Linked DNA regions of Arabidopsis thaliana. The protein of the gene in region 3 purifies or fractionates together with the protein of the main gene of each other region. This does not show direct contact. Each region holds a gene or a part of one and is shown on either strand. Other genes may lie near its edges. The genes, in order: EIF2 BETA, PKR2, MCM6 and AT4G24820.

Region 1 (4,721 bases), about 11 Mb from region 3:
CTAAAAGAAAACTCTTTATGAAAAATCAATACCTCAACATGATCAACAACACTGAAGTTGTTAGATTCTTGAACTTTCTGGCGCTTTTTTGTATTTGCTCGGATTAGGAAATCTCCAGTATTCTGAGACAGTAACAAGGAGAATGAGATCTAGCTAAAAAAGAGACTGTATTTCTTGTTCAAGAAAGAAATATAGATGCATCTGCAATGCCAGGATATGTAGCCAGCATTGCATACAACTTTGATCAATCTTTAGGCACAAACTGATCAATACAAGGAGGATAGGGACATCAACAATTCAATTAGCAACGACCCTTAGACTCACAAGAATCATAGCATAGACATAAACAAAAGAATTTGAAACAAACATCGGAAGCTACCTCGTCGTCTGAATCACTGATAGAGGTTTCGGACAATCCCGGCGGTGTGGAAGTGACGACTTTGACAGCGGCAGAAGCAGATGACCAGAGAGAGACCTGCTGCTGCTGCTGTTGTTGTTGTTGTGGTGGCTTGGCCGAGGAAGGGGTCTTACCAGTCAAGCGGGCCTCAAGCTTGGCGATTTTGTCGGGTAAAGAGTGATCCGACTGATTAGAAGAATTCGAGGAGAAATGCAAAACCATGTCATCCGACATTGCCAAACACTTGCGGACACTTCACTCCCTAATTTCTACACAGATCAGAGTAAATTCGAGAAATTAGGGTTTTTTAACGGAGAATTACGGAATTGGAAGCTAGAATCTGGATGTCGAAGAGAAACCCATCAACAAATTTTCATGCTTTTATGCAAATCCACGTGGAGGAAAGTGAATAAAACGTACAGAGAAAGATAGACAGAGAAAGAGAAGGAGGAATAAGGTTTTTGTTTCGGTGAAAAAGAAAAATCGAGGAACCCTAAGGAATTAGGAGGGAAAGAGAGGTCAACACAAAGTTCTCTTTAGCACTCACTCTGATACATTTTTTGGTTTATCAGATTTTAGCCTAATTATATAATCTGAGGTTTGAGACAAGTTTGAGTTATGGGTGTGTTAATTTGGGAAATTTCCATTTTTTCTTTCTTTTTTTTTCTCCATTTGGTATCATGGATTAGGGTTGACTATAAGTAGGGTTTTCTTTGATCTAAGGCCAGACTCGTGGTTTAAACGCTAAAATCCGATTATGACTATATGAATTTGCGGAAGTAGGCGGTTGCCGTCTCAAGCGTTATTAAACAATTTGAACGATTAATTTAGCGGTTGAAAATTAATGCATTTGCGGAAATTTTGTTACTGAATATCTAACAAACTAAAATACTTAATATATTAAATAATAAAATAATATAATTTAGTAATTTATAGTAAAATAAGATATGCTAGACTATTAATTTTGACACTAAATATATTCTGATTTCTTTCTTTACTAGTTTCATTTATATTTAATAACATTTTTATATAATTTACTATTCACAGAATTTAATAAGAAATAAATCTTAATTTGAAAAAAAAAAAATTGATTTGATAAAATTTCAATTGATTAATTAATTAAGACAAATAAAATAATAAATGAGAATCTCAGTGTCAATTAATAGATAAAATTAAAATGTAACATGCGTTAAGAAAAAGAAAAAAGTAAAAATGTAATATTAAGGTTTAGGCAAAATGAAATATTTACAGAGACCTTTTACTATTGAATTAAAAAAAAAAGTTACAATTCGAGATGGACTATTTTTTTGGAGGAGCAAGGGTTAACTCTTATCTCAGATTAAAACAACCCCTGCGCCGCTTACTCTCTCTCAGATTCCTCCCGAAGCAACCTCGTTTACTCTCTACGCCAATTTCAGCGCTTAGACATCCCTTTGTGAGTTTTCTTCGATTCCTTTTCGAATTCTTCTGGTCGATCTCAGAGTAAATCGTGTTTTTGGAAGAATTGAGTATAAACAGATTGGTAAACCTAGCTGTTCCGTTTCTGATTTGAAGCCTTGTCGTACATTTTATTTGGGTATTTTTTTTATTGGGAATCGAAAAGTTGTTCTGAATCTCGTTATGGTTTTGTTGCGTTCCGAATTACCTCTCTGATTTAGAAACCCTAATTTCGGACTTGCCTATGCTCATCGTTGTTACAGATTATGTTGATTCTAATATGTATATGTTTGGTTTCTGAGGTCTTATTATCATTGTGTGTTTTCGTTTTGTATCTCAGTTGCAATCATGGCTGATGAAATCAATGAGATAAGGGAAGAGCAAGAAGTAAGTTTGTTTTTTTTCTCTGTTTCTTAATGATAGGGCTCAAGTTAGCCATATAGATTTTTTTTTTTGTTTTGTTTGATGAACTCATGATTGAATGGTTTTTATGTTTTGGTTCATCCTTTTACAGCAGCTCGCACCCTTTGATCCTTCCAAGAAGAAAAAGAAGAAGAAGGTTGTGATTCAGGAACCTGTCGAGGACTTAGCAGAGTCTTCACAGACTGAGAAATCTGATTCATTGCCTGGTATGTATGATGAAGAGTCAATGTGATGTGAAACATTTTTTTTGTTTCAATGGTCTTTTGTGTTACTTTGTCTAATTCCTTGTTTTTGCAGTTAATGATGGTCTTGAGAGTTCATTTACTGGAATGAAGAAAAAGAAGAAGAAGCCAGTGAGTATTGTTTTACGTTTTGTGCCTAGTATTTTTTTTATGTCATTAAACTTGTGTGTTTGATGATTCTGTGACTCACATTTGTTCTTGTTTGATATTTAGACTGAATCAAGCTTATTGAACAACGAAAGTGTTGATGCTGGGGAAGATTTGGATGGTACTTTTAATATCCTTTTTTTTTGTTTGCTAATATACCTTTTCTCTTGGCGGGGTTTTTATCCTGTTTGAATCTTACTGAGAATATATTGCAGAGATTGCTAATGACGAGCAAGAGGGGGAAGAAGGAATAGTTCTACAGCAACGTTACCCCTGGGAGGGAAGTGAGAGGGATTACATATATGACGAGGTGACTATATTTTCGATGATTTCTTTTGTTTTAATCCTTCATAAATATCTTGCTCCCTTGTTTTTTTGCTGACGGGAGTTATATATGCAGCTTCTTGGTAGAGTCTTTAACATTCTCCGTGAAAATAATCCGGAGCTTGCTGGAGATAGGCGTCGTACAGTTATGAGGCCTCCTCAAGTTCTTCGTGAGGGGACAAAGAAGACTGTCTTTGTCAACTTCATGGACCTTTGCAAGACGTATGAGCTAACTCTTTATCTTCCTCTTCAAACTTTTTCTGTGTAACCATAAGTAATATTACCATTTAATTTTGATGACTTTTCGATGACATGTCTTATCTGCATATAAAAAATCAGGATGCATCGTCAACCAGATCATGTTATGCAATACTTGCTTGCTGAGTTGGGTACTAGTGGTTCGCTTGATGGGCAGCAAAGGTTGGTTGTTAAGGGAAGGTTTGCACCTAAGAATTTTGAAGGAATTTTGCGGCGATATATCAGTAAGTAACTTTCTTCTTAGTCTCAAAATTTAAGTTGCCATAAAAGTATATCAGTTTGGAGTTGTTAACCTCTTGTTTTATTATTTCTCAGCTGACTACGTCATTTGCCTTGGTTGCAAGAGCCCAGACACCATTCTCTCCAAGGAGAACCGTCTCTTCTTTCTGAGATGTGAAAAGGTATAAGTTAATCTAATTAGTCCTGATCTTGATATGCATTCCTTTGTTTCTGTTTTACAGTTTTACTTTCTGCGCAACAAAGTAATAAAGTATTTTGTGTGTTTGAATTTGCTAATGTGATTAACGAGTGGGCTACATGGTTTTTGCAGTGTGGATCTCAACGATCTGTGGCTCCGATCAAAACAGGGTTTGTTGCTCGTGTTAGTCGCAGGAAGACTTGAGAAATTAGAAGGTGAAGTGACCTTGGTATGGAGTTTGGAGCTATTCTACTGCTTCTGTATGAGTTTATGAGTTGAAGAAATACTTGTCTTGTTTTTTTTATTTTGTTTTGGAATATGATTATGACTTGACTTTTAAAATGGGATAGGATCAAAACCTTTTACTCTGTCAGGTTCATGTGGTCACCTTGAAGGTTGATTTAGTAAATCCATGGACTTCTTTTTTGTGTTAAGATTATTCTTAGTTCAAAATTAATAGACTAATGATATTAACGTCCACAGGCATTGCGTTCAACATCTCAAATTAAAGCGTGGAAGGCTCAGAAAGTCCAATATACACTATGTTTATCTACAGTTACAATCATACTACAAAAAACAAATAATGTATACGGTTTGGTCTAATATAGCCGCATACGATTTAGTATTTACCAACAAAAAATTGGTCTCAAACCAAACCGAACAATTGGTAATTAACAATTGTTCTTTTGGTCTTGAACCGAACCAAACCGAACTGAACTATATTAACCGACCGACTTCGTCCTTTCCTCCTGATCAAGAAAACTCGTCTCCTACAAAAATCCCAGAAGACAAGAGATTGGTTCTTCTTTTGCATCATTCTTACAAAATCCCCAAAATCATTCGAAACCCCTGAGTATTCTCCTTAACTCTAAGAAATAAATTTCTGAATGGATGCATCGTCTTCACCGTCTCCTTCCGAGGAAAGCTTGAAGCTTGAGCTTGATGATCTTCAGAAACAGCTGAACAAAAAGCTGAGATTCGAAGCATCCGTTTGTTCTATTCATAATCTTCTCCGTGATCACTACTCTTCTTCCTCTCCTTCTCTCCGCAAACAGGTTGGTTTTTATTCTTAGAT
Region 2 (7,883 bases), on a different chromosome or scaffold from region 3:
CAGCAGGAATCAGTATCCTATCATGTTCTTCCTTAGAAAATGCTCCATTTCTCAAATTGTACTTACTGATGACGTAGTTAGAGAAAACAGGTGCTGTCGGATGGTTGTCCAAAAATTGACACTGTCACATCAAACATTGAGAAGTGAGCTCAAACAAACAAGAGAGGACCAAACCAAATTTTATCAAACGAGAAACTTTCAGATATATAAACCACATGCAAAAACTTTAAGAAAGAATGCAATGAATCTTCTCAAGTTTTGGTTCGGTTACTAGTGCTAATAAGTAACTGTTTAAATTCCATAGACACTGGAAAATGGTAGGCTTACCTTCTCCTTTACTAGCATCATAAAAGTCATGCTCACTAGTAGCTCGTCACTGCTTATCCCTTCTTTGGGAACTCCATCTGCATAGACCATTGCCGTAATAACTTAAAAATATGATAACAGAAATAAGCAATTGGATATATCTAAGAATACCAACAAACATATAATCAATAAAGTGATAAATTACCTTTAAAATTTGTAGAATTATCGGTAGGGTTTTCGGCAATGTGTTTCAAAAATAAGATTCCATACCTGAGAAACAACAAATTTAACAAGTGTCAATGAACAACTGTTGGTTTTTGTAAAGCAGCTGAAAATAAGAGCATAAATGGCTTTAAGTCGTCAATACTTATTTATCTCGTCATAGGTCTTCATGTATAAGGGATTAACAAACTCCTTCCAATCAAAGTTTCCAGCTCCATACCTACAAAAGTTGTTTTGAGACACTTATGATATACTATGATGCTTTGAGAGACGCCAAACCACAATTTAGACAACATTATTAGAAAGAAGATATACCTCTTAAACGTACGTAAAAATATATCCCTCTCAGTCTCGTTAAATCCCAGCACCATGAGATATCTCCCTTCGCCTTCCATCAAAGGTATTTCCTCCGAATTATCTTACAGCAAAATAGATTTTCAAAGTTACTTAACTTGTAAACCTCTGAAACCAACAAGATGTCATCTTCAATGCAATATTTGGAAAAGTATAGTACCGCGAGCCCTTTTTCTGTAAGGCCTTGTAACCGTCCTCGGCTTTCTCTGTCGAGCTGCTTCGGGTTCATCTGCTTCCTCCTCCTCATCAGAGGTCACTTTTAAATCATCAAGACAATATTCGTCCTCCTCATCAGAGATTTCTTCTAAACCATCAAGATCATCTTCAGCATACATCACCTAGTAATATTAACAAAAGCAGGAATAAGAACACTTGTGCTAAAGGACATAAAACGATTCTGGAGAGGTGGGATCAAGAAGAGTATACGTACCTGCTTGCCGTTTCTCTTCCTCTTTCCAAGAGCACTGAGCTCCTCAGCTTGTTGCACTTCATATTTGTCTTTCAGCAAATCTTTCCAGTGACTTGTTCTATCAGCATTTCTTACTGAAGAATTGTTTTCTATAGCTTGTGCCTCCTCTAATGCTGCAGCCTCATTTTCATCATCTACATACTCAAAACTAGCCACCTAATATACAGGAAATAACATCAAAAAGAGAAATTATATTTGGAATTAATGCCACTAAATATATGTGTATAACTTAATATTGCAGGAAAAAAGGGTGTATATATATGCATGCACATGCACATGATGATTCTTGTAGCATATCCATTGAATTATTACTCTCTAAACAATTCTCTGGACCTTAACAAATATTGGATCATCTGATCAATAACCACTCATCTAGAAAGAGAAAGAGAAAGAAGTAAACCTTGAAATTCTTTAAAAAATCAGTTTCCTCCTCATCATCCAGTGAGACCTCCACAGCATCTACATGATTACGATCTAGCAACCTGCAGAAGAAAAGGTGTGGCTACAAATCATGAACATTCCATGCAATTGTATGGTGGCTTTGAACTATTAAAGTAAAATCACTAGGAAAGTAAAAACAAAGAAAGAAAGAAGAATATATTACTGTTCGATAGCAGCATCATCGTAATGGATTTTTCCAGACCTCCCTGCTTCATCATTCTCTTCAGAGAAAAGTTCCTTGGAACCATATTTGATGATGTCATCTAACTCGTCCTAATTACAGTCAGGGATAGAAAACAGTAATTAATTAAACCTTGTAGCAATAAGAATCAATAACAAATCGAACAAGGAATACATATATATATATATACCTGACAAAGATGTTGTTTTCCCACGACGAGATGCTCTAGAAGCATCTTGTTCTTGGTTATCTCCATCATCCGTTCTTCTACAGTACCTTTGTGAATCAGTCTGTAGATCATTACCTAAATAAGAAAATATAGGCTTAATCAGTGACATAGCTAGAAAAAGAATGAAATAGCAAGTGGATGATTCCACATTGACGCCATGAAAAGAGAACCTTATTTGTTTGGCCAAGCCGATGAACTCTAGCCATAGCCTGGAGATCAGCATGAGGATTCCAATCACTACAACACCAGTGAAAAAATCATGTCAATAAATTCATCACAACCATCTTAAATGCCTCTACAATATCTTTCCGCTATTAACTTAGAAGATCCAAACACTCTGTTATTCTGGAAAGAAACTTCCAACAAGCACTTTATCATTTCATTAAACAGATATTGGAACTCAAACCTGTCATAAATGATGACTGTATCAGCTGTTGCAAGGTTTATCCCTATTCCACCAGCTCTTGTACTGAGCAAAAAACAGAACCGGTTCGAGTTTTCTGCATTAAACCGATCTATTCTTACTTGCCTCTCAGGTCCACTGATCTTTCCATCAATCCGTTCATAATTCCAATTCTGACAAAATAAAAATAAATTTGTTACGGCTCAATATCATACAATAGTTTTTCCTTAATTGCATATAAGCAAATTATAAAAAGAAAGTTACTGTTCCTTGCGTCTCAAGATATATTAAAAAGTAACTTTTAAGTGGAAGGAAAAGATTATATCGCAAGTCATTTGCAGAGCGACAACACCAACTGAACAAATCAATAGGTCGACAAACAGATATAGCAGATTAGGTTACCTTGAAAGTGAAGTAGTCTTCCAAAAGGTAAAGGGTGTGTTGGAATTGGGTATAGATTAGCACTCTGTGCCCCTGCTCTTTGAGTTTGACCATCATTTTGTCTAACAGTTGCAACTTTCCGGAAGCTTCCAATAGTTTTCTTTAGAACAATTCAGAAAAGGTCAAGCAAAAGTCAGCACAAAATACTAAAAAGGAATCAATACGTCAAGATTAGTGATCAAATGTTACGTAAAAGCTTCATTTGCGTCTTCAAATCTTGGCTCAAAGTCTGGTAACAGATACGGATGAGAGCAAACTTGGCGTAATTTCATTAGCACGTTAGATATCTGAAACAGTTTAACCAGCCGAATTATCCTACCAAGTACAGTCTAAAAGGTTCCTAAACCAAGACAATATATATACATCTGCATAAGCACAAGAGATCCACAAAACTTACTTTAGCATCTCGTTTCTTTGTCAAGACTTGATAATTATTGGTAATAACAGCTTTGTACACTTCTTTTTGCTGGCTGCTCATATCAACACGCAAAATGAGCTCCTTCTTTGGGGGCACCTTATCCTTGAGCACGTCTTTCTTTAACCCTGCAATAACAATAAAAGCAAGATTAATCACCATGGTTATAGTTATCCCTTGGTGCGAGACTTCAAACGAAATGTTCTTAATAAGATTTGTTGGTTAATACTTCTGAGCAGATGCGGAGCCAACATTTGGTGGAGTCTTGAAATCTGCTCCTCTTTATTTATATCTTGAAACTTCTCCAAACTCCCAAACTGCAAGCATGGAAAATAAAATAATTAAAGCAAGCTTGTATGCTTATAATGACTATTTTAGAGAATAAACTAAACTTATTTTATATGCGTTATCTTTTGGCTAACCTTGTCCGCATCAAGAAAATGCATCAGAGCGAAAAGTTCATTCAAGTTGTTCTGAAAAAACACCAAATAAGTATTAGTGATACAAAAGAATTGATACCATAATAATTATAGTACTATTTCAGAGATCATAACTAATTAGGTAAACTTTAATGTAGGATTGAATGAACCTTGGGAAAGTCGAAGAACCAAAAATCGACTAACGACGAACCTGAAGTGGTGTTCCGGTCAACAGAACGATATGCTTACTTGTAAACTGACTCAATGAAGAGTACAGCTTTGACTTCTGATTTTTCAACCGATGGCCTTCATCAATAATCTAACCAAGAGAATGATATTCTAAGCAAAATATGAGATCTAAAAGAAAGACATACAAAGTATATAGTATCATTCAGATAATTAATACAGAAATACCATGCACGTCCACTTGATTGGACTCAGAACTGATATCCCTGGGTGAACCATCTCATACGTCGTGAGCAAGACATCAAACTTACTTTTACGCCCTTCAGAGAAGTAGAACTCATGTTCCCATATAACATCACGTGCTTCCGAATCCCCAGTGTACATAACCTGCATATATCATACGATGAAAACATTAATAAATAACTAATACCGTATATGTGACATATATATACGAAACATGATACATACCACATTCATATGTGGTGCCCAGGTGGCAAATTCCCTCTCCCAGTTACGGATGGTTGAGAGAGGAGCAACAACTAGATGAGGAGATAAGTTTTCCTCGAACAAAGAGGCCAAGAAGGCAATGCTCTGAATAGTTTTGCCTGCAGCAACCACAAAACCAATCTTATTTTACACAAATGATAAAAGCAAAGCCTATGAATAACCCCAAAAAAGAAATGGATTTTTGAAGACGTACCTAGTCCCATTTCATCCGCAAGGATTACATTGGTTTTCTTGGACCATGAATACCTTAGGAAATTCAGCCCTTCGAGCTGGTATGTATGCAATGTGCCTTAAAAACATATAAGGTAAGTAAATCAATAACATTATACAGAAACTGTATACAAATTGTTCAAGTAGTCTAATAAAATACCTGTAAGAAATTCAGGAGTAAGATCAAACTGTTTGAATTCCTCTCGATTTCTCTCATTTTCGACATATTTATCTCTACGAGAGCTAGAGTTTATATCCTTAAACCTTTGGATTTCATTCTGGAAATCTGAGATGTCAGATTCAGATTCCCAGTAACTATTTCTGTAAGAAAGTTCTTTGTACTTCACCAGATACTCCTCCCCATCATCTCCTTCCCTACATCATATCACAAACAAAAAAACCATAATTGTCAAAACGAAATCCATTAAGTGTCACACTTTTCTACACAGAAGATAGAGAAAGAAATATAAACGCATGAATAAATAATCACAAAGGAAAAAAAAAAAAAAAAAAACATAATTGTCACAACGAGGTCTATCAAGTTAAGGACATAAAAACAAAGGACAAGACTTGAATCACTTAACCGGCAAGCAATAATCCGGTCAACAGTTTTCCATTCAGGACGAATGGCGATAAACTCATGAGCTCCGTTCTCAGCGATGAATACGTCCATAGCAGCGTTAAACCTGGTCACCCTTAATTTTAGTTTTAAATGAGGATGGGACTTGTAAGCCTTCTCGAACTCCTGCTCGGGCACCCTAAGAATTGACATTAATAATCAAGTGATGATAAGATAACCAGACAAGAGAAGCAACAAAAACATAATAATCGACATGTTTAATTAAATACAACACGATATCGCATATTGCTGGGAATTTACCAAGAGCAGTGCAAGTACGATAACCCCTTCCACTTCACAAGATATTGTTTCACGACAACTAGGGTTGGTGTCCCGTTGTCAGAAGAATTCGGATTGTTAGATGCAGTAGGACGCCATTCACGGTCCAAAATCTTTTCAATCTCGCCAAGAGGACAATCCTGAAATGGATCAAATAATTAAAAGTCACTGCAGATCTATAATTTCACAACAAGACAAAGACATACCTGGTTACTTCCGCCTGTTTCTTCAACTTGTTCTTCACGAATGTATTCATCCAACTTGTCTTCAATATAATCTGGCTTTGGCCCGGTTCGTCTACGAAGCCTTTGCAACAGATTAGCCATTTCTCTGCATGAAAAAACCACAACAATGTGTTTGGTCAGTAAATATGATTCATTAAATTTTTAGATAAAATCGTAACAAGAAAGAGTGAAAAGAGAAATATCTCAGAAAATCTAAGACCAAGGAGGAGCGTACAAGATGAAGAAAATGCAAGGGAGCTAAAACGCAAGAGGGGTGATTCTTAAGGATATGATAAACGTCTGTTTATATATATAGAGAGGGAGTGGTCATTATTCTTTATTTCCTTTTAATTTTGTTTTATGGAGATAACACTACCTTTTTTTGTCAATTTCAATGTAAAGGTGAATTAATTTGTAACCAGAAGGGGATGCAGATGTAGTTGTGGCTGTGAGAAATTTTTAGAAGTGAGTCCTAGTGGTTTTTGTGAATGAAATTGTACCTAAAACCGTTAAGATTACGCGGCAATTTTGAAATTTCAACAAGAAATTCGATGATGATTTAAAATAAAATTATCAAAATAACCATATATTGAATAATTAAATATTTAAATATCATTAAAACAAAAAGTTATTTTATTTTATTAGTATAAAAAGTTGTTTGATTTATTAAGTTTCCTTGACACTGGTCAAACTATAAATTTATATGCTTACCAAAAAAAAACTATAAATTTATATTGTATATATACATTTATGTAACATAATTAAAAAATATATATCATATTTAGGGAAGAAATTAATTTAAAGTTTTTTTTATTTAAGATTCTTTGTCTGAATGGGTTGACCAGAAATAAGATTTAAATATTTAGTTATATCTTTAGTATCTAAAGATATGTGTCTGAAAACAAATAAATGAAACTTAAATAAAAATCTATTCAATGCAATATAATGTGATTTGTTTCTATAGAATAAAACAAATATTAAAGAGAGGCATGCAAATGGTAAGTATGAAAAAGGTTATAAAAGAAGAAGGAAATAAAGATTAGATTCATGCACTGTAATTTTGTTTAAAAATTAGCATTATCTTGAGTCTTGACCACAAAACCAAAATTAGTCGTCCGTTACAAATTGGAAAGGGATTTGGTTGTGACCAATAGTATGAAGATGGTTTACTTAGTTTCCAATACTCTATGGACAAATGGTGCATTTTTGTATTTGTTAGTTTTTTTAAGAGGTCCACATTTCAATTGATTAACGCTTTTTAAATTAACTAACACTTAAAAAAAGTTTTGTTACAAAGTATTATATAGATTTTAATTAATTGTAACAGCAAAAGCTTTCATAGCTCAGTTGGTTAGAGCACCCGTTTAGTAAGCGGGAGGTCTTGAGTTCAACTCTCAATGAAAGCAAATTTTTGTTATTTTACAATTAAAATCAGTTTTGTTCATTTTTATTAATCTTTAAAATAGATATGGTGTGAATGTTTCTCTTTATGCTTGGGCCTGTGGCCCTTTTTGGGCTTTGAAAAGCCTTGTAAGTTGACATAAAATCACGCTTATCAATTAGAGAATTATTAAAATATCCACCGAAATGTTTTCGGTGATAATGGGCTTTGAGTGCGTACCAGTAAAAGAAGGTTGAGACTTGAGAATAGCAATTAGCAGCGATCTGACCAAACAACACAACACAGTTAAATCATTCTCGAATACTTCCACTGGATGTCCACTGTGCAGCATGAAATTTGCATATATTTATTTTTAATTGATACAAGTTATTTTAGATGTTTATTGTATTTTTTTTGTAGAGCCATCCTAAAATAACCAAACCTTACGAAAAATAAATAATACAGAAACGTATCCAAAGGGGTTCTTACTCTTTAGAAAATTACTGAAATCAATTGTAGAAGAGCCTAAACATTGATTTAAATTTTGGTTTCTCGGTGGTTTTGTTGGACCATTTTTAGAGCTATAAACTTCTTCTA
Region 3 (6,706 bases):
TAAAATGTTTATGTGTTTGATTCTCATACATATATGACTTTTTGTCTTAATATTAAAAATATGTTGAATTAGTATGGAGAAGGCTATTTATTTATTATTATTTTTTGGTAGAAGGAGAAGGCTATTTAATTAATCAAACATAACGTAGTATTTTCTTATAATAAATCACAGGGGAATTGTTAAAAAATGTCCATTTCTCAATACCACTTTAAAAACTTTCTCAAAACAATACCTCTAAAAATGATAAATGATTTGGGCTAAAATGGAGACTTTATTTCTTGTTTTTATTGAATCTTAGACATCTGTCATTTAGACAAAAAAAAAAAAAGACATCTTTCATAATATCTAGCCAATTGGCAGCTTGAAGATTACCGCATTTATGCTTAACCGGTTCATCAATTTCGGACGCGTATTAGATGTTTACTATGCAGAAGATGATGCCTTCAAACACCACAAACGAAACTTCAAGATTATATCCATAGATCACATACACTGTGTATGATACACATTAAAGAGTTTAGTGATTTGGGAATATCATTTTTTTTCCTTTTTGGGTTTCGATGAAGTTTACAGAAAATTATAATCCAACAAAATTAGTTCACAATGATGAAAGATTTAAGGCTTCTACTTATGAGTTCTACAAATGTCTTACACTTAATCACATCACTCAATAACATAGTTTGGAGCAACAGCTAAGATCCTCTCGTCTCTTTGTGAAGATTTTTTCTTCGTTTCCTCTGCTTCTGCGGCTTCTTCTTGCTCATTAGCTAACACTATAAGATGACCTTCTTTACATACCAAACTCTGTGCAATGCATAGCTTGTGTTAGATAGAAACATCATTTGAAATAATTTTATTCTTAACTTCTATGATTGTTTTGGATTTTTACCTCAATGATGGCTCTGAGTTTCTTGATATCGAGTTTTACTTGCTCTTGCGAACTATATTTCTTTTTCTCATTCTGTTGATCGATGAACCATCGAATCAGTTCCTTTTGTCTAATTCCAGGCAATTCAGAACCTAAAGGAAAAAAATTGTTTTCAATAGTTGAGGAGAGAAAATGAAAAGTATGGAAAATTGAAGAGTGTTGTTGCTTACTGTCTTTGTTTACAGTTTCTTCATGTTGTCTAAGGCGAATGACTAAAGCCTGTGTGATTCTATCATATTCTTCCTCGCTAATCACCAGCTTTTGAGCTGCTGCTCCATTATCTGTTGCTACGTCATATGATGTTAATTATGATTCTTTCTTAAGTGAGGCAGAGAAAAAATGAAGAGCACAAACTGTGCATAAATACCTGCAGTTGCAGAAGCTGGCTCAGCTGCACCATTCTGTTGATCTTCCTCTCCATCAACAGGGTTTTCAATGTCATCTGTGTCGTCCATGTTGTCACCATTAGCATCTTGGTACTCAGAAAGATCGATATCGCCTGACTCAACACTGGATAAGAGAAGCAAGTATGGTTGTTTACGGTTAACATTTTGGGAGAATTTTAGGAGATAAAAATATTTTTTGAAGATGTTCGAAGTTACCTGATGACTGAAGTCTTTAGCAGTCTGACAGCTAAAAGAACATGACTTGGTTTAACCTGAAAGAAAAATAACAAGTTCCCAGATAAATCAAATCAACTACTGGATACTGGTAGAATAAAAGAAAGGAACAGAAAAACGTTTTAGGATTATCTCACCAGAATTTCCAAATGACTCCTAGCAATGGCTTCTGAGAGCCTGATCAGTGCCTCTAGCTGCCTAACTGTCATTCGATATGCGACTCTTGTACCTGGAGTTGTATCACCTCTACGAAGAGCAACATAAGACTCGACAAGTAACTTTCTTGCTTCTGGGCTTAGCTGCAACACAACAGATGAATATAGAGAAAAGATGTTAGCATCTCCAGCAAAAGAGCCTTTAGCAATCAAAAACTTTTTTCGGGTTAGTCAACAACCTTTGGCTTTAACGTTTTGGCATATGCAATGTAGCGCTTGAGTTGTACGGTAGTGAATTCAGGAGATAGCGCTGCTTCATGCTTCTGGTGAACTCGCACAATATGATGGGCAATGTGGTAATCCGTTACCTCATCAGGGTCATCAATCATAACGTACACAAGATCAAACCTCGAAAGAATGGCAGGTGGAAGATTAACGTTATACTGAAAAAGAGCATGATCAAACCACAATTAGATATAAAACCTTCCATGAAAGTTCTTAAGCAAAGAAAGGAATACAAATATGCATCTGTTTGGTCTAATTCTTGGATCACCTTACCTTAAGTGGTTTAGATTTATCATATCGCCCACCAACAGGATTAGCTGCTGCAAGAATTGATGTCCTAGCATTCAAGGTTGCTTGTATACCAGCTTTTGTAATGCTTATCGTCTGCTGCTCCATTGCTTCATGAATAGCAACCTTTGTGCCCAAATGCAATAATTTTCATCAAACACACTCTAAGAAACATAATCGTCTGTATAGTAACAAGCAATGATGCTGACTTACCTGATCTTTGATATCCATCTTGTCAAACTCGTCAATGCAACATATTCCATTGTCAGCAAGCATTAAAGCACCAGCCTGTTGAAGAGTCAGATAACCTTAATTAGAAAAAGAGCATAGAAATCAAATTTACAAAGAAAGGCTATCCTTCTTTAAAGCGGTTATAAAGTTTAGGTAACTTGAAAACTCTAAAATTACCTCAATGCAGAATTCACCAGTTTCCGGTTCTTTTGCCACAGTTGCAGTCAACCCAGCTGCAGAAGAGGACTTCCCAGATGTATACACAGATCGTGGTACAATACCTGCGGTATACCTGCAAATAACAAACCAAAACTGAATGATCAGATTTCAGAAAAGGAAAAAAAAACAGACAGCTTTGATTTTCAATGAGAATCATTACTTGAGGAATTGGGATTTAGCACAGCTGGGATCCCCAACTATACAAACATTGATGTCTCCTCTAAGGTTGATGCCTTCATGAGTTGTCTTGTGCACACCGCCTAGAAGCATAAGTAGAACTGCACGTTTGATGTCTTGATGACCAAAAACGGTTGGGGCCATGCTTCCAACTAACTTATTGAAGTAATCAGGAGTATTTCTCATCTGCTGAATTTCATCTAACTCTTCTGCCTGCAAAGTTTAAATAATCATGTAAGAGAAAAACCAGGATGCTGCGGTATATTAACTCTTAAGACTTATAGGTAGTTTATTTCAAGCCTCACCGTGAACTGCTGTTGATCATCTTCGTTAGAATCATTTTGGCGGTTCCTCATGTCAGTGTTCCTACTACCATCAGCAATCTAGAAAGAAAAAAACATTGATATTGATCAACTGGTATCACTTAAGTTATGGCTTGACAGATACTAAAAAGTTGACAAACCTGCACTGAATTAGCGATAAAGGCAAGCCGATACGAAAGATCTCTAACTCCTAGAGCCTTGAGACCTTGAACACCTTCATGTCCAGCAGTAGAGCTTTTCTGCTGTGATGAGTCTCGACGACATTCTGCTCTCTCTCCAGGTGCTGCCAGTGCTGATATGTCAGGTATAACAACTACTGTTCCCGTAAAAATAACCCTGCGAGAACAATCCCAAAAGGAGTCACAATCAAATGCAAACCCTTTATTATTATAATGATGGAAGAAATAACTTAGAGAACTGACACAAAACGAAATCTTACGTGTCACCCGCTCTGGCCTGTTCCACAATCTCATGACGCAAAATGACATCCAAAGACCGTGGCAAGGAACCTGCAGGTATCTCTTTTGAAGTCTCCTGCATTCTAACCCTTTGCCAATCCGCAAACTTACTTTCTTGTCTAAGCAACGCCCATCTTGCTCTGTTCAAACAAGTCGGGCTCACACAGATCGTAGGCTGCAACAAGGCCACAAATCACTCAACAAACCAAAAGAAAACAAGCTACTACTTCTTCCTACTACAAAGTGTATAAAAAAAAACACCAAAAATCAAAGAATCAATTACCTGTGTATACTTAAACTGTTGTTCAACATTCTTTATAACACTACCACAATCTAAACACTTGAAAGTCCCATATAGAAGCTCAGGTCTCACTTCACTTGTTCGAGTAACCACACCTGTCACCGACACTAACTTTCCAATTTCTGCCGTCGTTAACTCCCTCAACCTACAAAACCATCATCATCACAATCACCACACACTAAAGTTAAGCCAAAATATTCATAACAACTACTATAATATCAAAATCATTAATTAGATATTTAAAGGTGTTACCTTTTAGTGAAAGGAAGATTGTAGAAAGAAACATTGATATCTTTATTTGGAGTATCATCAGAAATGAAAGAAGGATTCATTTCAATCACAAATCTCTTACACGCATTCCTCAAATACGGCTCAAACCTAAAACCAAAATTTCACACACAAAAATCAAAAAACCCCAAAAATCAAAACTAGGGTTTTAGATTAATAATCAGCAAATTAGAGAAACAAAAAAACAAAACCTCAAATATTCATCAGCTATTGCTTTCTGAAGAGCGTCATTAAAACCCATTACATGTGAGAAATCAATGTACATCATTGTTGATTCACCACCTCGAATCGCTTCAATCTCTGCTTCGTAATACAACTCCGGCTTGTTCGCATCTAATCGAAAACTGAAACCAAATTGAAACCGAAACTGATTAGAGCCAAAATTGAAAGAAATTGGGGGAAACAAAAAGCCCAAAAACGCAAACCTTTTCAGGAATTCGAGGAAGACATTCTCGACTTGAATCGCTTGTTCATCCATTACAAATCCACCAAAAGCTTCCATTTTTCAAATTCTACCTCACTCGAAATTTTCCTCTTCACTACCAAAAACTGTTTGCGACAAAAACCCTAAAATCGTTTGAACGGAAAACAAAACCTTTCTCCACTATGGGCAAAGAAATGGCGAGCTTGTTGTGGCGGGAGTTTTAGGTGGGGTCCTCTAACATTTTCCCGCTAAAAAGTATAGCGATACGTGAATTGGGCCTAAACTTTGGGCTTATATATTGGGCTTATAATTTGGACCTTTAAAATGGACCTTTTCAAATATATATTTGATCAAGACAACCATGCTTATTCTAAACTCTAAAGATAATCGATTCTGGTTATTAAGAAAATCGATAGAACAAAAAAAAGAAAACGAACCTTCACGAATGTTTTGCTATTTTTTCTTCATTAGAAATACAACTTGATAAGATCATTTGAATGTTCTGTTTACTAATTATGAACAAGTAAAACTTAAAAGATTTGTTGTTATACTATCTCTATCTTATACTTCTCTATTTATAGATTAACATAACAAATTGCCATAACAATTCTCTTGCCTATATAATTCTGAGCTCTATTCATCTTTTCACAACAAACCAAGTTTCAACAATCAATCATAAAAATGAGAACTAAATATTTTTCTTTGCTAGTGTTTATTATTGTCTTGGCTTCTAATGAAGTTATAGCCAAGAAACACTCTTCAACACCTAAATTAAGAAGAAGTGATTTTCCAAAAGATTTTATTTTTGGAGCTGCAACGTCAGCTTACCAAGTCGAAGGAGCTGCTCATGAAGATGGTAGAGGTCCAAGTATTTGGGATACATTCTCTGAAAAATATCCGGAGAAGATAAAAGATGGTACCAATGGATCTATTGCAAGTGATTCTTACCATCTTTACAAGGAAGATGTGGGTTTACTACATCAAATTGGTTTCGGTGCCTATAGATTCTCTATCTCGTGGTCGAGGATCTTGCCACGTGGGAATCTAAAAGGAGGTATCAACCAAGCTGGTATTGACTATTACAACAACTTGATCAATGAGCTTTTGTCTAAAGGAATTAAGCCATTCGCCACCATTTTTCATTGGGACACACCGCAAAGCCTTGAAGATGCTTACGGAGGATTCTTTGGCGCGGAGATTGTGAATGACTTCCGCGATTATGCGGATATTTGCTTCAAGAATTTTGGAGATCGAGTGAAGCATTGGATGACATTGAACGAACCATTAACAGTTGTGCAACAAGGATATGTTGCTGGTGTAATGGCTCCTGGAAGGTGTTCAAAATTCACAAACCCTAATTGCACCGCGGGAAATGGAGCTACCGAGCCTTATATTGTTGGTCACAACCTCATTCTTGCTCATGGAGAAGCAGTCAAAGTATATAGAGAAAAATATAAGGCATCTCAAAAAGGTCAAGTTGGTATCGCTTTGAACGCGGGTTGGAACTTGCCTTATACCGAATCAGCTGAAGATAGATTAGCTGCGGCACGAGCCATGGCCTTCACATTCGACTATTTCATGGAGCCGCTTGTAACCGGTAAATATCCGGTTGACATGGTCAACAACGTAAAAGACGGTCGCTTACCTACATTTACTGCAAAACAATCTAAGATGTTGAAAGGATCATATGATTTCATTGGCATCAATTATTACTCATCTTCTTACGCTAAGGATGTTCCTTGCTCAAGCGAAAACGTTACATTATTCTCTGATCCTTGTGCTAGCGTCACAGGTGAAAGAGAAGGAGTGCCTATCGGTCCAAAGGCAGCATCAGATTGGCTTTTGATATATCCAAAAGGAATTCGTGATCTCCTTCTCTATGCAAAATACAAGTTCAAGGATCCTGTCATGTATATAACAGAGAATGGTAGAGATGAAGCTAGTACCGGTAAAATCGACCTTAAAGATAGTGAGAGGATCGATTACTACGCTCAACATTTGAAGATGGT
Region 4 (6,219 bases), on a different chromosome or scaffold from region 3:
CAACTTCTCAACGCCAGGATGTTGGACCTAAACATGTCGTAGCACATTCAGAAACCAATTAAAAGTAGACTAGGAAGATTTCAGTTTTCTCCTCATTATTCCTCACCTTTACAACAACATCCCTCTTGTCACCCTTTACTCTTGCTCGGTGTACCTAGATAGAAGCAAAAAGAAAGTGAAATACAGTATATATTGAGACTTTCTTAACCAAACTATAATCTTATCTGATTTTATAAGCATGCACGGTAATACTGTACAAAGGTTCTGAAACTATGAGTGATGAAGAATGTAGTACCTGAGCAATAGAAGCAGAGCCAAGAGGCTTCTCATCAAATGTTTCAAACACTTGTTCGATGCTTTTACCTAACTCTTTCTCCAGGACAACTCGAACGGCATCAAATGGTGTGGCAGGAGCTTGATCACACAAAGTGACGAGTTTTCTCACCCAAGCAGCTGGAGCCAAGTCAGGTTTCCCTAGAATTTGTGCAATCTATTGAACAAAATGAAAAAAAGTAAAAAAAAAAAAAAAAAACTCATCATAAGCAACTGTGAACAATCAAAGAGTAAAATGTACAACCTTTATTCTCATCAAAGAAACAAAAAAAAAACTCATACTTTTTGTTACAACAAGATTTAAGATGAGTAATTCATAACAATCCCAAACGTGGAAGTCCCCTCTGGTAATCACAAACCTCAACAACAGTCTCAACACACCATTACCTTAAGGAAGAAACCACCAAGGTCAGAGCACATAGAATAAACTTTATGAGCAGCAAGTTCATGTTGTCTCTCCCACATCTCCTCGTGCTTATTAACATCCTTGACGAAGTTCATACGAAGTTGAAATACCTAAAAGCCCAGAACAAGACACAGATTGAAAGAAAATTGCAGAAAATCATAAGAAAAATGTATTACAAAACGAAACATGAAGAAGAAGAAAGGAGTACCCATCAATCAAAGAGAAACCTTGTATCCGGTGTAGATATCAGTGGCACGAGCCCAGAACTGAAACGATCGTTGCCAAGGCCGGAATCCATCAGAGAGCTTCTCCTGAATCTCTTTGAAATCGATCGCATGCATTTTCGAAGTTTTGAGGAAGAGTGATAAGGATGAGAGGATAAAGTTAAGAATTGTTTATGTATGGCGTCAGAGTGGAGTTTGCTGCTCTCTACGAATCCATTCGAGAGTGTTAATTACTGTTTCGTTAAATTGTAAAGGAAACAAAATCCGTTTGTCTTATGTCACACTCACTGTGAGTCACTGGTTATAATTAGGCAGGCAATAGAAGATAAGGTACTAATCTCCTCAAATCTTAAAGTAGTTTACAATGATGGTCTTGTTACTAACCCCAGACCATATCAAAAAATTTAGGAAAAAAGGAACTTACTAAACAGTAAGAAACAAATTGTAAATCCTATAAGTGTGATGGTGAAGAATCTCACCTAATTCACTAAACAGACGTCCGTGGAAGAAGAATCTGCAAAATACCAAGTTACCAACTACTGTGTATGTATCTCTCACAAGTTCAACCAAGGACTGTCCTTTAGATGTATCTAATTTGTGTTCAATTCTAACCATTCAGATTATGAAGTGTACTAATGCATTTTTCTTGGTATATCTATATGGTCAACTAATACACCTTGTGAAACAAAAGCTTTATTTTGTAAGAGGTATGGTGGTCGTTTTCTCTTAGATACTAGATAGATGCGATGAAAACAACAGATTCAAAAGCCATATGCGAGGAAGAATAAAATGAACATTGGAGATTAAACTTGCTCTTTGTTCTTGGGAAATTCACCACTGACAAACCAACTAGAGTTGATGAAAGAAACTACAGCCATTCATCTCAAAATCCAAAGTTCATATCGTTTCTCAGACCTTAAGATTCTACCGTTCGGAGTTTCCAAGTTGCAAAGCTTGACGAAAGAGTGAAACAGAAACATGTAGCATGCTCACAGATCGATCACACGAGACAGCTTCTGGATTCGGTTTAGCAAGAAATCCCCTTGCTTGATTGTTGCCTGGTAAAGTGCATTCTTTGCATCAGGACGGTTTGTCTCCAAAACACCTGCAACCTTGTCTATCTTACAGTGAAGCTTCCCAGCAGCAATGAAGCGCGACAACTCCCTGGATAAAAAAAAAAATACATTTCAAGTCAGATTTAAGTTTGTATTATCGTTTTTTTGTATGCTTCTAAAGAGAGGTGGCAAACATAAATATACAAAAGAGCGTTCATTATTGTGCTTACTGGTCTATGAAATCGACAGAAACGCCAAAGGCCTTTGCCATTGCTTCAACTGTCACACTTTTGTAAGATTCCAAAAACTGAGAGTACACCACTGTTCTGACTTCCCTCATGTAGAACCGGAAATGCGGGTACAAGTAACGGTCATACTTTATCTGCACCGCCATTCCAGCTGAGAACATAAGCCGACAATGAAGTTAGTAAACATACAGACAAAAGCCAAGCAACATGCATTCGGATGTATGACCTCTGGTCCTTGTAATGAACTTACCAAATGCTGAGAAAAACGCCTTGTACTGGCACTCATACAAGGAGTTCAGAAACTCAGAAAGGAATGGAATCTTCCCAAGCACGGTTAAGATCTCAGGTGCATCAACGACCTGTCAAATTAGTAGCACTTGATAAGAATTTCAACAAATTACATGGATATACATCATTTTAATAAGTCGACATACTAAAAAGTTTTTATCTAAGTTTAGACAACTCTAAGTGGAAGACTGAGCCATTGAGAAATACCTTTTGCTTAAGGGAAACTCTGTCCAAAGTTATGATGCTTGTCAGGACGGTGTAGAATATGAAGGTCTCATATGGAAAAATTTCATATGTTGTGAAGGTTGATATAGAATCCAGGAATAAGCTGGCAGCCTTCTTAAAATTTCTGGTGGACATGCAGTACAAACCTTCATAGACCTTTAGCCGGTTCTTCCTCTCCCAGTCACCACCCTCTTCAAACAATCTGGCAAGGGAAAACGGAAAGTGTTAATTCAAGGATTTCAGTTGCACTATCCATGAAGAGTAGTCAAAATACAGCCAAATTGACATTTACTTTTTTGCTTTGTCAATGCTCTTTGATACCAGATCAAAGTCCATATAGAAAAAAGCAAGTTGTAACGTATAAAACACCACGTCCATTTTTTGTCCAACAGCAACAGTTTTCCCTTCAGTGAGTTTTAGCTGCTCCAAAGCTTTCTCCTAGGATTACAAAACAAAAATTTAATGGCCACGATCCACGGAAGTTACCATAACTATCAACTTTGATATGCCACATACCTTATCACTAATCCTGATGAAATACAGAGCCTTAGCAAGATGAGCTTCACGAACTTCACTTTCACCCAAATTTTCTTCTGCATCTGCAATCCTGAAAAAAGTGAAAGAAAAGAATATGTAAGAGAACTTTGGCTGATAACATACTGGTTCAGAAGTTTCTACAAAGTTAAAGCGGAGGCCAAGATGGACTCAGAAACCAATGGTTAGGTAATGGTTATCTCCCTAAGAATACTAAGACATCATGCTACATCAGCTACCACAGGAACATGGAGATTCCCAAAATTCATAGTGGACTTTTGCAAACACAATTCTGAATCCAATTTGAGACCCAGAATGCTACAGTCCCCCTACATCAATCTAACCCAAAATACTAATACGAGAATTCGAATTTCAAAGCACTGCCAAATAAAAGTGAGAAACTGAAGGAAACTTACTTCTCGTCGAGCTTCTTAAGCTCCTCTTCATTAGCGGCCCGCATAGACTCTAACAAGCTTTGATCCAAATCCAGCACCGAAGAGGCAATTAGGGTTTCGTACAAAGGAGCCATACCTAAAATAAATAAAAACACCAACGAAACATCAGGAACATAAAATCTCGAAGAAATATTAAGCTAATTCTCACTGATTAGAGAAAAGGAGCTGCTTAACCATGGGATCTGATGAAATCCAAAACCTCAGACTTGAGCTGGACTTTCTCGATGTCTGGAACATCTGGATGAGTGAGGAGGAAGAGCTTGTTGGCTAGAATAAGGTGAGGCTGCTGAGATCCTTCCGCTCCACCGTCCATCGCAAATCGGAAAGCTTGAATCGGATCTGAGAGAGAGAGAGCAAATATATAAAAAGAGGTTTGCTTGAGCAAGGAGGAAGAGCTTACAAAGATTTCAGGTCCGATGGTTTTTTTTTTTTGTGTATGTAAAAAAAAAATAAGTTTCGCATTACCTTAAACACCCTTATCTTTTTTTACATTTAAATTTGGAATTTTTACCATAAGAAAAAAAAGTAAAAAACATTTACATTTAAATTCTCGTTATAAATAATTTAAACTTAAGATCGTTGAATTCAAGTAATGGATATTTATATTTTATATCTCTTTCCAATGGAAATCATAAAAGAAAGAGGCACTCATTATTAAATTTCTCAAGTTTTTCCAAAGTGAAGAAAGATGATAGAATTATTTCGAAAGAAGCTGAAGCTATGACGACGCATCACAATAAGGGATGTGTTCTAATGTCAGGCTCTCAATTCCAAGTAAGACATGAATGAAAACCATTTCTAGCTAATTTTCTTAAGCATAGCTCTAATTTTCATTGGAAGCCCGTAAAGACGAATAAACCCGGCTGCATCCGCTTGGTTGTAGATCTCACTCCCTTCAAACGAAGATATGTCCTGTCTATACAGACTGTTAGGACTCTGACGCCCTGTAACCGACACAGATCCTTTGTACAGCTTCAGTGTCACAGATCCCGTGGTTGTCTCGGTTATCTTCTCCATGAAAGCGTCCATGGACTCCCTAAGCGGATCAAACCATCTTCCTGCGTAGACCATCTCTGCATATTTCAGTGCTAATGTGTCTTTTACCTGAATACTCTCTCTGTCTAGAGTGAGGGATTCTAGTTCCTGTACAGCTGCAAAGAGGATAGTGCCTCCAGGAGTTTCATACACACCTCGTGATTTCATCCCAACCAGACGGTTCTCAACCATGTCAATCCGCCCAATCCCGTGCTTTCCTCCTATTGTGTTTAGCTCGGCCAGAAGTGTGGCTGGACTCAGAGCCTTCCCGTTCAGCGCCACTGGAAGTCCAGATTCTATCCCGATCTCGATGTATCTGTATAAGTGTGTAAGTATCAAAAGTTAGGATGCAAATTGCAAAATCCTACTCTTGGTATCTAAATTTGATAGCATAGCAGCTAAACCAGTTAACTCCTTTGAGAGACTTTAATAACGAGAACTCTCTATTCTAGATCTGATTCCCAATCCCAAACCATAAACAAATCCTGAACACACCAACTCATTCTGCCTAAACCTCAGCTCTGTAGCTAACTGACTCAACTTTAGTTTTCAAACTATCAACACAGCTATAATCCACTACAAACCACCTTGGGGTAATTACAGTGCATAGTTAAACACAAGGGCTCAAAGAAATTCCAACTTACTCAGGCTGATCAGGAGCATCTTCAGGATCCACACTCATCATGTACATATCTTTCTTTGGCTCGTTTGCTGGATCTTCCAATAGATCACCCTTTCAACAAAACACATAAGTTTGATATCAGAGCATGAGACACATTATTAGGAACTGAGCAATGTGACAAACTGGATCAATTTGTATCCAAAAGAAAAATGCGAACCAACACTTGTCTTTTACTTTACCTCATGACTAAGGTGCCACAGGTTTCTGTCCCGGCTGTAAATGGACTTCTTTGTCACTGGGACGGGAACATTATGCTTCTTTGCATACTCAATAGCATCTTCTCGGCCTTGGATTTCCCATTCTCTCCATGGTGCCACAACTTTAAGTTCAGGGTTTAATGAAAAGAAGGTGAGCTCAAACCGAACCTGGTCAATCAATCAGTACAAAAAAGTAATGTAAGAATCAATGCGTGTTTTCCAATGTGACGCATTAGCAAGACATTCCAAGTACTTGCCTGGTCATTTCCTTTTCCAGTACACCCATGTGCAACGGCATCAGCTCCAACCTCTGCTGCTACATCAACCATGGCCTAATCATTTAGAAAATGTATTAGTGACAATATGTAATCCAAAAGATATATCCAGATATTAGAAATAGTGGGGGTAGTCCTCACAAGTCAATCATATAAAACCATTCGAAATGTTACCTTAGCAATGACAGGTCGAGCCATGGAGGTACCAAGCAAGTATTTTCGTTCATAGATGGCACCAGCTCTAAGACAAGGGAAGATGAAA

What was found.
Region 1: the proteins of MCM6 (region 3) and EIF2 BETA purify together in Arabidopsis thaliana (affinity purification with mass spectrometry, with the first as the bait; one large-scale study listed by BioGRID). This does not show direct contact.
Region 2: the proteins of MCM6 (region 3) and PKR2 fractionate together in Arabidopsis thaliana (co-fractionation; one large-scale study listed by BioGRID). This does not show direct contact.
Region 4: the proteins of MCM6 (region 3) and AT4G24820 purify together in Arabidopsis thaliana (affinity purification with mass spectrometry, with the first as the bait; one large-scale study listed by BioGRID). This does not show direct contact.

Annotation. Positions count from the first base shown.
Region 1 is NC_003076.8:7,094,123-7,098,843, reverse strand, and holds EIF2 BETA (eukaryotic translation initiation factor 2 beta subunit), read left to right. Parts: upstream 1-1,698; 5' UTR 1,699-1,832; exon of another isoform or gene 1,833-1,973; intron 1,974-2,174; 5' UTR 2,175-2,182; coding exon 2,183-2,221; intron 2,222-2,348; coding exon 2,349-2,463; intron 2,464-2,554; coding exon 2,555-2,610; intron 2,611-2,712; coding exon 2,713-2,767; intron 2,768-2,861; coding exon 2,862-2,956; intron 2,957-3,046; coding exon 3,047-3,192; intron 3,193-3,309; coding exon 3,310-3,452; intron 3,453-3,543; coding exon 3,544-3,629; intron 3,630-3,778; coding exon 3,779-3,850; 3' UTR 3,851-4,195; downstream 4,196-4,721. Other genes in the region: TSL (Protein kinase superfamily protein), read right to left, coding at 33-122, 380-631; AIP2 (RING/U-box superfamily protein), read left to right, coding at 4,534-4,701. UniProt on the Arabidopsis thaliana protein: Component of the eIF2 complex that functions in the early steps of protein synthesis by forming a ternary complex with GTP and initiator tRNA.
Region 2 is NC_003075.7:15,429,652-15,437,534, reverse strand, and holds the start of PKR2 (chromatin remodeling factor), read right to left. Parts: upstream 6,008-7,883; coding exon 5,888-6,007; intron 5,822-5,887; coding exon 5,664-5,821; intron 5,652-5,663; coding exon of another isoform or gene 5,582-5,651; intron 5,542-5,581; coding exon 5,368-5,541; intron 5,159-5,367; coding exon 4,944-5,158; intron 4,863-4,943; coding exon 4,767-4,862; intron 4,672-4,766; coding exon 4,535-4,671; intron 4,454-4,534; coding exon 4,295-4,453; intron 4,200-4,294; coding exon 4,092-4,199; intron 3,935-4,091; coding exon 3,884-3,934; intron 3,779-3,883; coding exon 3,691-3,778; intron 3,590-3,690; coding exon 3,444-3,589; intron 3,334-3,443; coding exon 3,236-3,333; intron 3,147-3,235; coding exon 3,008-3,146; intron 2,779-3,007; coding exon 2,609-2,778; intron 2,440-2,608; coding exon 2,373-2,439; intron 2,278-2,372; coding exon 2,164-2,277; intron 2,066-2,163; coding exon 1,956-2,065; intron 1,834-1,955; coding exon 1,752-1,833; intron 1,508-1,751; coding exon 1,313-1,507; and 12 more. UniProt on the Arabidopsis thaliana protein: Chromatin remodeling factor that represses the expression of embryonic trait genes upon and after seed germination and thus enables the developmental switch to post-germinative growth.
Region 3 is NC_003076.8:18,005,768-18,012,473, forward strand, and holds MCM6 (minichromosome maintenance (MCM2/3/5) family protein), read right to left. Parts: upstream 4,776-6,706; coding exon 4,699-4,775; intron 4,618-4,698; coding exon 4,465-4,617; intron 4,364-4,464; coding exon 4,238-4,363; intron 4,131-4,237; coding exon 3,968-4,130; intron 3,860-3,967; coding exon 3,666-3,859; intron 3,563-3,665; coding exon 3,367-3,562; intron 3,287-3,366; coding exon 3,209-3,286; intron 3,117-3,208; coding exon 2,887-3,116; intron 2,800-2,886; coding exon 2,685-2,799; intron 2,565-2,684; coding exon 2,490-2,564; intron 2,403-2,489; coding exon 2,262-2,402; intron 2,147-2,261; coding exon 1,943-2,146; intron 1,848-1,942; coding exon 1,686-1,847; intron 1,587-1,685; coding exon 1,531-1,586; intron 1,439-1,530; coding exon 1,296-1,438; intron 1,210-1,295; coding exon 890-1,209; intron 805-889; coding exon 664-804; 3' UTR 528-663; downstream 1-527. Other genes in the region: BGLU13 (beta glucosidase 13), read left to right, coding at 5,379-6,706. UniProt on the Arabidopsis thaliana protein: Probable component of the MCM2-7 complex (MCM complex) that may function as a DNA helicase and which is essential to undergo a single round of replication initiation and elongation per cell cycle in eukaryotic cells.
Region 4 is NC_003075.7:12,788,519-12,794,737, forward strand, and holds AT4G24820 (26S proteasome regulatory subunit Rpn7), read right to left. Parts: upstream 4,205-6,219; 5' UTR 4,082-4,204; coding exon 3,943-4,081; intron 3,845-3,942; coding exon 3,730-3,844; intron 3,387-3,729; coding exon 3,296-3,386; intron 3,218-3,295; coding exon 3,072-3,217; intron 2,982-3,071; coding exon 2,762-2,981; intron 2,626-2,761; coding exon 2,517-2,625; intron 2,418-2,516; coding exon 2,249-2,417; intron 2,128-2,248; coding exon 1,953-2,127; 3' UTR 1,799-1,952; exon of another isoform or gene 1,551-1,798; intron 1,274-1,550; exon of another isoform or gene 1,081-1,273; coding exon of another isoform or gene 967-1,080; exon of another isoform or gene 850-966; coding exon of another isoform or gene 721-849; exon of another isoform or gene 533-720; 3' UTR 512-532; downstream 1-511. Other genes in the region: AT4G24810 (Protein kinase superfamily protein), read right to left, coding at 1-27, 107-154, 296-490, 721-849, 967-1,080; AT4G24830 (arginosuccinate synthase family), read right to left, coding at 4,567-5,119, 5,448-5,536, 5,665-5,850, 5,940-6,014, 6,132-6,219. UniProt on the Arabidopsis thaliana protein: Acts as a regulatory subunit of the 26S proteasome which is involved in the ATP-dependent degradation of ubiquitinated proteins.